Linked DNA regions of Canis lupus familiaris. The protein of the gene in region 1 interacts with the protein of each later gene in a pairwise test. Links are inferred from orthologs where the notes say so. Each region holds a gene or a part of one and is shown in the gene's direction. Other genes may lie near its edges.

Region 1 (4,790 bases):
TGAAGGACCTGAAATGATAGGATAAGTAGTTAGAGTTTTGTCGCAAGGACAATGGAGAGCCATGGAAGATTTTTGAGAATGGGAGTGGCAGGGTCAGATCCTGACAACAGGAAGATGTGTCCAGCGGCTTGTGCATGTTGGTGAGAATGAGGATTTGCCATCCCTGGGTGTGACACGGTTACATTCAATGCTAGTGGGAGATTGCGAGTAACGGATTTAGACGATCATTCTGAAGAGCACCTCTACACTCTCCTTTTCTTCACCAAATTGAGTATGATTCAGTCATTTCACAAACTTTTCCAGATACTGTGTGGGTCTGAGTGCAAGCACTGAGGAGGAGGGTAGGGAGAATCAGGATGAGCCTCCCCTTCCCACGACCTCCCCTCCCAGCCTTCTCTCCACCCCTCAGTCAGAATGTGTTTTGATAAGTGGTGGCTTGGGGACAGCATAAGGGTGACAAACTGAGCCCCCCCCACCAATTAAATTTTTTAAAAAGCTGCTATGGAAGGAGCGAATATTAGTTTCCTGATTTATAAAGCCAAATGGATTAAGCTCATTCATTGCCTGAGGAAACAAAAAGGAAATCTTCAATACCTCTGTGCACATTGAGAACAGGAACAATACTGGTCTTTAGAAAGCAGAAACCTAATTTGGGGGAATCAATTACCCTCTGTGTCCCTGCCTCTGTGGGCTCTCATACTCGCTCGCTCTCAATAGAGATTTCCTGGGAGGTAAAACGTGAAGTTGGTCAACCACAGACACACCCTCGGCTCAGCCTCGCAGACGGGAGGGGAGAACTAGGCAAAGGGCGGGTGGAGTTGGGTGGGGGCGTGCCTGGGTGGCAGGCACCTGTGGAAATAGGGATAGAGGTAGGGGTGGGGAGGGCTGTGGGATAAAAGCAGGGGTGGAGTGAGTTGGGGTGGGAGGCTGAACCGAGATGCGTCAAGGAAGGGGACCATGGCAACCTGAGGTTTTAAAGAGGGGGTGGGCTGGGGGGGCGCGGTGGTGGCCGGAGGGGCGGGGTGGGGGGGAAGGACAGCCCGAACTGCAGAAACACCACCCACCACTTCCTGATCGCACGTTTCTGTGTTCTGCGCGTGCCCCCGTGTCTTGACTGTGCAGCGGACAATGCTGGGGCAGTTACGCAAACAGGAAGGGCAGGGGCGCCCGCCGCAGCAGCCACGGGGCCACGTTCACGAAGTCACGCGCAGCAGCACTCAGGACCCCACGGTCCCCGCGCTGGGTGTCAAACCCCGGCCCGCAGCACCCCGTCCCCGCCCCCCGCATGCGGTCACGCGCGCACGCACACACGCCCGCACTGCTCACACGCACTCTGGCTGTGCTTTTGTGTTTTGTCAGAATTAATGAGAAAAGTTCCCGTGCCCTGCGGGTAATTAGTGTCCTTGGAGTTAAATAAGCTAATGGCGGGCACCTCTGGCCCAGGCAATTATGTTTGTGTATTGAATAATTGATTCAAAGGGGGGAAGGGCCGCTAATCAGATCTGAGCATAATGAATTGATTTAATTAACAGGGGAACTGAGGGGCCCTGGGAAACGCAGGCTGCACTCGGCAGAGGCCAGCGCGGCCCGCGCGGACGGAGAACCGCGCGCGGCGGCTCCGGCGGCTCCGGCGGCTCCCGCGGCTCCGGCTCCGGCTCCCGCGACCCCGCGGCGGACGGACGCGCCCCCGCCCCCCCCCCCCCCAGCGCTCCCTGCCCGCGGGGCTCAGCTGCCCGCGCCGCTCCGCCCGCTCCCGCCCCCGCCCCCGGCCCCGGCCCCGGCCCCGGCCGGAGCGCGGAGCCCGGAGCCCGGAGCCCGCGCGGGGCCGGCGGGAGCGGCGCAGGCCGGCGGGCGGCGGCGGAGTCCGAGCCGCGCGCCCCTCCGCGTCCTCGGCCGGTGCGGGGCTGGCGCCTCCGGGGAGCCATGGTGCTGGAGCAGGAGGACGGTAGGTGCAGCGGCGCGGGCGGGCCGCGGCCGTTCCCCGGAAGCGCGGCGCCTGGGGGGGGGGGGGGGGAGCCAGGCTGCGCCGCAGGGCCGGTCGGCGGCGCGGGAAGTCCCCGGGCGGCCGCGAGCCCGCCGGCCCCGCACGCCCCGGCCGGGAACTTTCTCTCCGGTCCCGCCGTCCCGCAGACCCCCGGGCCCGTCTGCGACCCGCGCCGCGGCTTCCCGCAGTGCCCGCAGCCCCCGGCTTCCCGGCCCCCGCCGCCCCCGCTGCGGACCGGCTCCCCCAGGGGGGTCCCCAGGGCACCTGCAGGCAAACCGGCCCGGCCCCGGGGGCCCTCGGATCGGGAACTTCGTAGCTGCGGGGTGGGTGACATTGCTTCACCCCTGGAAGGTTCCCCCAGCCGAGCGCGTCGGGAGGTGCCCTGCGGGCTAGGGTCGGGCGGCGCTCAGGATACCAGGGGCGGGTTTACCTTGAAGCTGATGAAGTTTAAGCTTCATAGTCCTTCCGTGGTCACTTTGTGTTAGCAGCCGTGTATTCCTTTTCTCAAGAAGAGCACCCCCCCCCCAGCCCCTATATTGCATGAGTAAGCTTGACTCCCCCAAAAAATCTGAATCCACCCCTGAGTCCAACTCACAGCTTTCCCATGTAACTACCAAGGCTTGGAGAACATACAGCCAGGCTGCCCCATGGGACCATCCCCAGGGGACGGCAGTTCCTTAGCGCCTGGGGGATGAAGCCCTGGTGCTGGAGGCTGGGAGAATTTGAGGCTGGGAGGCAGCTGCTGGTGTACAGGGAAGGGCCCGGCTGCCTGACCTTTCTCTCTGGCCCCGCTGGTCCCTTGTCCCAGCCTACCATCTCCCACTGTGGTCATCAGCTGTCCTGGTTTGCCCAGAACCATCCCGTTTTAGCACAGAAAGCCCTGCCTCCTGGGAAACCCCTGAGTGCTGGGACAAACCAAGACAGTTGGTCAGCCTACATCCACAACCTTCTCAGAGCTGTTGTGCAGGGGGTGGATTGGCCTTCATCAGGAGGGTGGGAGAGACTTGCTTTCTGGGGTGCAGATTTGGCCTTGGCCTCCACCAGGTCTAACAGTGCAGCTTCCTAGAAGGGCTTCCAGAAACCAAAGGAGGAAAGTTTGTCAACTGTGTACTTCTCCACTCTAGCTGATTGCCAATTCCTGTGTTTAGGCTGCCTTTGTGTTGTTAGTAGGGGGCAGGGCAGGACATCTGAACTTGGCCAGCAGACATCCGGATTGCACTGCAAAATCTGTAGGGTCACTCTGTCCTTTCAGCTGTGGCTGCCACAGGGAAGGGGCCCTTGTCAGTCCAAATACCTCTTGAGTGTCACCTGTGAAGCCAGCTTGTAACCCCATCTTGGAGACAGCTGTACTGTGTTGGAAGCAGGGCCCTCAGGCTGAGGCACATCTGACAGCCACCACTGTTCTGGAATATCTGGTCTGCCTGGGCCCTGGGGCAGAGAGTCTCCTTCCCCTACACACACCTCCCAAACCCAGTGCAAGAACCCTTCATCAGGACTTTCCTGCCAGGTGCAGCGACAAACTGCTAGGACCTGCCCAGAACTTTGAAAGGCAGCTGGTAGCACCTCCTTTCTCCTCACCATGACCTGGGGGCTGATCAGCTGGTCTCCCTCTGCTGTCCCCAGAGGCATTTCAAGGACATTCTGGGGCACTCTTGGCAATGTTGACTTGAGGGTACGTGCATGCTCATTGCCCATGAACTGTGTTGGGTGCAAACTACCTCTCCTAGCCCCAGGGGATCCTGGACCTGGAGGCAGCTTGGGTGGGGGCCCCAGGCACAGGACTTACCTGCCTGCCCAGCAATTCCCCATGAGCTGAGAGGGTGGATGCTGGATGGGATGCTGAATGCTTGTGTCTAGCTCTGTCCACCTGGCAGGCCCCTTCCAAGCTAAGAGCTCAAGTCACTTAAACGTTTCAAGGCTTGCTGTGTAGCTCTGTCAAGTGGAAGGCCTCTGTGGAGGCCTTTTTCCAGATCACTGTGGGAGCTCAGTGCTCACAACTGGGGGTACAGAGAGCTGCCTATGAACACAAGCAGCCCTTCACACACAGCTGTGATCTGCTGACATACACTACCTGGTTCTTTAGCCCACGGCTCAGCACCCCAGGCCTACTCCAGTCCCTGAAGTGGGGCACAGGGTCCCTGACTCCCTAGAGGGATGCCAGTTGGGTGGCTGCTAATTGGTATCTTGGAGACTGGGGGGAGCTGCTGTAGGGACAGAGCCCCAAGCCCGACACATGAAGAAGAGAGTGGACAAGTGCCTTCAGCTAGTCAAGTCCCAGTTTGTGGGTCAGGGCCAGAGCCTTGAAAGAGAGGAGAAGCCGCCCTGGAACTGGAGAGTAAAGCCACAGGCCTTGTTGAGCGAATGCCTTCCGGGAGCACAGAGGCATCTACAGCAAGAAGCTACCCCTTGCCAGCCTGTCAGCCGATTGCCTGTGACATTGTCTGGCCCCCCAGCTCAGGCTGGGGTGAGGGGTTGGTACCAAACGTGCCAATGGCAACAGTGTCAAAGCCTCCCTCAGACCCTCGGGGTATAGTCTGGCTGCAGTGGCAGGGGAGAGATCAAGCTCGCAGTCCTGAGGGACAGTGAGGCTGAGCAAAATGATATATTTAACATCAAATATACTCAAGGACTATTAGGATTAAGTATTCAAGATGAAGGGGAAAGCGAAACCCTCTGAGCTGCGGATGAGGCATCTCATTAGAAGCAGCCTCTCTTCTGTTTTCTTAAAGCCTGACTTCCCCGCTTAGGCTAGAGGAAGATGGGCTGCAGCCCCACTCCCCCATTCCTACTCCTGTCAGGCACCCTG
Region 2 (4,217 bases), on another chromosome or scaffold:
CAAGGAGTCAGGAAACTTGTAATTCTGAAAGGATTCCCTGGGCTTAGAATAGGGTAAAGTGGAATTTGAACCCTCCATGTGTCAGCAGTATCTGCATGTCTTTGTTGCTATGAGCTATTCAAGTGTTTCTGTTGTTTTTTTTTTTTTAATTTAACATGTTTATAGGGAGGAGTGGATCAAAAGATGCCTCTTGTGGTATCAAGGATAAACCCAGAGTCACCTGTAAGTGAACATATTTCGTTCTCGCCTACGTTTGTTTTCTATTAAATCTAACGTTCCTATTTCTGTGTCCTGTTTCTCTGCCAGCAACAAAGGGGGTGTGTAAATGCATGCATATAGATGGAAAGAAAGTGTGGAACCCATGTTTTTCCAGAACTTTGCTAGTCAGGGTAGCACCTGCATCACCTGGGAACTCATTAGAAATGCGGAATCTCAGGCCCCACCCTAGACCTCCCAAACCAGAGTCTGCATTTTTAACAAGATTCCTGAGTGATTGGTGTGCACTTTAACATTCAGAAGTACTCTCAAGAAAAGGAAACTGAGGCGCAGAGTGTGTTGCTCTGCTCACTCTGTGCACGTGCACCCACCGTCCCACCAGCAGCACCCTGCCCTCTGCGCTCCGTGTAGGCCTCCTCAGAGGATTTGCTTTTCTGGAGCAGATGAGCAGCCAAGAGTCACTCACTGCGTCTCCTAAGGAGGAACTAGTTCGGGGGTTTTACTCGTAAGTGGTCCTTCAGCACGTAGTTTGCTTTCTCCTACTGCTTATGGCCCCACAGGTCAGGAGGGCTTCCATTCCTACACTGTTCAGTGCACTCTTCTCTCCGTGCTGGCTTCTGCCTTTGGGGTTATTTATGCTGACAGAGGCTTTCTCCACCGCAAGATAGACAAACGCTCACGTTCGGCTGACAAGCCATTTTCTAGCAGCACATCGAGAAAACAAAAGATCAGAAGCCTCGCGGTGACGACATTACAGTAATAGGTGAAGGTTGGCTCTCGTAGAGAAATGGCTTCAGTACGTTGCGTAGCTTTATTCCGAAATGCCGCATGACTTAGGTCGTGAGCAGCACTTCTTTAGACTCCCACAACCAGCGACCACGTCCGCGTAGCAGCGGATGTAAAAATAATGGCCCGGCCGCCCCCGAGGGAGACCAGAACCCGCACCTGGTCTCAGGTGTCTGGGCTCCGAGAGCGCCCGCGTCCTGCCCTTGAGGATTGTGTTATGGTAACCGAAGAAACTCGCTCTTCCTCTCCACCCAGGCGGACACCTGCATTCCTAAGCTGAACGAAGGGGATCAAATCGTCTTAATCAATGGCCGGGACATCTCAGAGCACACCCATGACCAGGTGGTGATGTTCATCAAAGCCAGCCGGGAGTCCCACACGCGGGAGCTGGCCCTGGTGATCCGGAGGAAAGGTAACAGCCACCGCAGGGGAGGAGCCACGGGGCCTCAGGGAAGCAGGGCCCTCTCTGGCCCATTCCGTGGTTTTGAAAATGTTGAGCTCGTAGCCAGCACTGGAAAATGGAGACCTTTCGCCTGACAACCAGGATGTGGGACTTCTCACTTGAAAAATGTGAAGATGCGCCCACGCGGGGCCCAGCCCCTCAGGGCCAGTGCTCTGGAGGTAGGCAGCACCTACCCACCCCCTCTAGCCAGGACACGAGCCCTGATTCCTCCCAGGCCCACTCCCCCCACATTACGCCCCTCCCTTCGCCGTCTGGCCCTGCACATGTTTGCTTTTTCAGCCCCTTCGTAAAGTGTTGGGTTCTGTTGACGTCGGTAAAGCAGAAGTGGGGCAGGAGCCTGGCTGTCCCCGGGGTGATCCTGCCTCCACCTCTGTTGGGTTGAGGGATCTCGAGCAAGTTTTTACCCAAGTATGTGCGTCGGTTCCCTCCGATGTAGAATAAGGGCACGATAACCACTCTGTCACAGGGTTCTAGCAAAGATGGAATGATGCTTATACTTGGAAAGCACCTAGAGTGCTTCCTGATACCTGGTGGGCATTTGAAGGATGGCCGCTGTTAAATACAATTATTTGTGTTGTTGTTGTTGTTGTAAAACAAGCCGAGTCCTTGGATCCTTCTGCCCAGGTTAAAAATACTGAAGGTAAATGTGTGTGTAACTCGAGGCCCTGCCACATCTCTGTTCTGGTTGCACAGGTGTACGTACAGCCCCCGGTCCCCCTCATACCTGCTTTCCCTCTGCTTCCATAAATCTCCAAGCCCAGAGCTGTGCTGCATGTGTGAGGCCTCACCAGATCTCTCCAGATCCCTTCCCGTGCCCCCCAAACCTTGATGCCACAGCCTCCCACCTGACAATGGCCTTGAGGTAGAGGTCGCCTGGGCTCTGTGGGACCATGTTGTTAATAGAAGGAGAGACAGGTGGGTGGAAGAGTAACCAGGTCAGAACAAAAGCAAAAAAAGTGAGGTCTCTTTAAAAACATTAAAATATACATATATATATATATATATATGTATATTTAATTTATTCATGAGAGAAACAGAGAGGGAGAGACACAGAGGGAGAAGCAGGCTCCCTGCAGGGAGCCCGATGCAGGACTTGATCCCAGGACCCCAGGATCACACCCTGAGCCAAAGGCAGACGCTCAACCACTGAGCCACCCAGTCACCCCACTTTAAAAGCATTCTTTCCAGGCACCTGGGTGGTTCAGTTGGTTGAGCCCACTTCTCCCTTTGCCCCTCCCCTGCTTGTGTTCTCTCTTGCTCTCGCTCTCAAAAAAAAAAAAAAAAAAAAAAAACTTTCCCTTTCTCTTACCTTTGTCAAAAGGCTCTAAGTACAAAACACCATCATTTAAGACTAACCAGAAAGATTAGTATGTCATTTTGTATAATTAGCACTTACTGAATCATTCAAGAAGTAGTGTCTTTGGTGAAAGTGATTACCATGAGCTTAATCGTTTAATAAGCTGTTTTAAACCATCTGCATTCAGGTGTCGTAAGTATAATTCTTTTTGAGGAAACCGATCAACCAGAACGTTTCTACCCCTGCCAGACACACTCTTTCTTGTTCACTACAGCTGTCCACTCATTCACTGACATCAAATCCGACGATGAGCTGAACCAGCTTTTCCCAGAGGCCATTTTCCCCATTTGCCCAGAGGGTGGGGATACCTTGGAGGGATCCATGGACCAGCTAAAGAAGGGCCTTGAAAGCGGGACGGTGCTGATCCAGTTTGAGGTAAGAGGCCACAAGGGCCATGTCCTGGGCCTGTGGGGAAGCCACAGCAGCCCAATGTCTCCGTGGGCTGCTCGGATGCTGCTGAGTGACCCAAGTCTCCAGGCAGCCTGTGCTCGTCATGGGAACACAGCAGGGGACTCAGAGCACAGGGCAGCAGAGCAGGCCCAGAACACCGGGAACGGGACCACAGCCTGGTGCTGAACTCAGCCTCACCCTCTTACCTAGTAATGCTCCGTAGCCATGGAGAAACGTGTCAGAAATTGAGGAGGAGGGACTCTGAGCGTATTTAGCTGCCAACACAAAAGCTCAGAATGCTCGGCAGTGGAAGGTGCTGGAGAGGCAGTGTGGGTGAGCCCCGGAGGGTGGCGGAGGAGCCAGCCAGTCCCTGACCCCACCAGACACCCTCTGTAGTTTGGAGCAGGTAGGTAGCATCATCCCATAAGGGCGGAGCAGCCGGCCTGCCCGGGTCCCCCAGAACCGTGTGAACGGAAGTAGAATCCAGAGGCAGACCCTGTCTTCCTTCTGCAGGAGGAACCTCTAGTCATAGAATTGAGCCTGTGACACAGCTCAGTTCAGGGCCCTCCCAGAACAAAGTGGGAACACAGGAGATTCGGTTTTTAAGTCCACGGATGGATTGCTAGCAGAATGAAAATGGAGTGTGTGTATCTTCTAAATTTTTTAAAGGTAGAAGAAGAGTAGTTCATGCCATAAAGGATAACAGAAGAGGATAACCTAACATAGACCATTAAAAGAAAATAGATCGTGATTAGCGACTACTTACAGAGTCAGGATTCATAAATTAGGAAAGAGTCCAGATTCGGTTCAAGCGCAGATGTCAGCAATGCCATTTGTATTTGGAAAGCTACAGAAAGGGAAAAGTCACAAAAGCAAAACTGAGAAGTTTGTCAAATGCATGTGGTCCCATATGGATTCAGGAAAGCATAAGTGACCTCAATATTGAAGAGCAAACACCATAAAGCAAAGACTCTTAAGTGAAAGAAAGGTTTATAATGGCTTAAG

Evidence for each region.
Region 2: the proteins of LMO1 (region 1) and PTPN3 interact in binary tests that used the Homo sapiens proteins (3 or more experiments, as listed by UniProt). The two-hybrid records come from large-scale screens. The link is inferred for Canis lupus familiaris from reciprocal best matches to the Homo sapiens genes LMO1 and PTPN3.

The regions. Positions count from the first base shown.
Region 1 is NC_049242.1:32,368,192-32,372,981, reverse strand, and holds the start of LMO1 (rhombotin-1), read left to right. Parts: upstream 1-1,838; 5' UTR 1,839-1,923; coding exon of another isoform or gene 1,924-1,945; intron 1,946-2,414; exon of another isoform or gene 2,415-3,032; intron 3,033-4,790. UniProt on the Homo sapiens protein: May be involved in gene regulation within neural lineage cells potentially by direct DNA binding or by binding to other transcription factors.
Region 2 is NC_049232.1:64,876,101-64,880,317, reverse strand, and holds part of PTPN3 (tyrosine-protein phosphatase non-receptor type 3), read left to right. Parts: intron 1-165; coding exon 166-222; intron 223-1,257; coding exon 1,258-1,414; intron 1,415-3,036; coding exon 3,037-3,197; intron 3,198-4,217.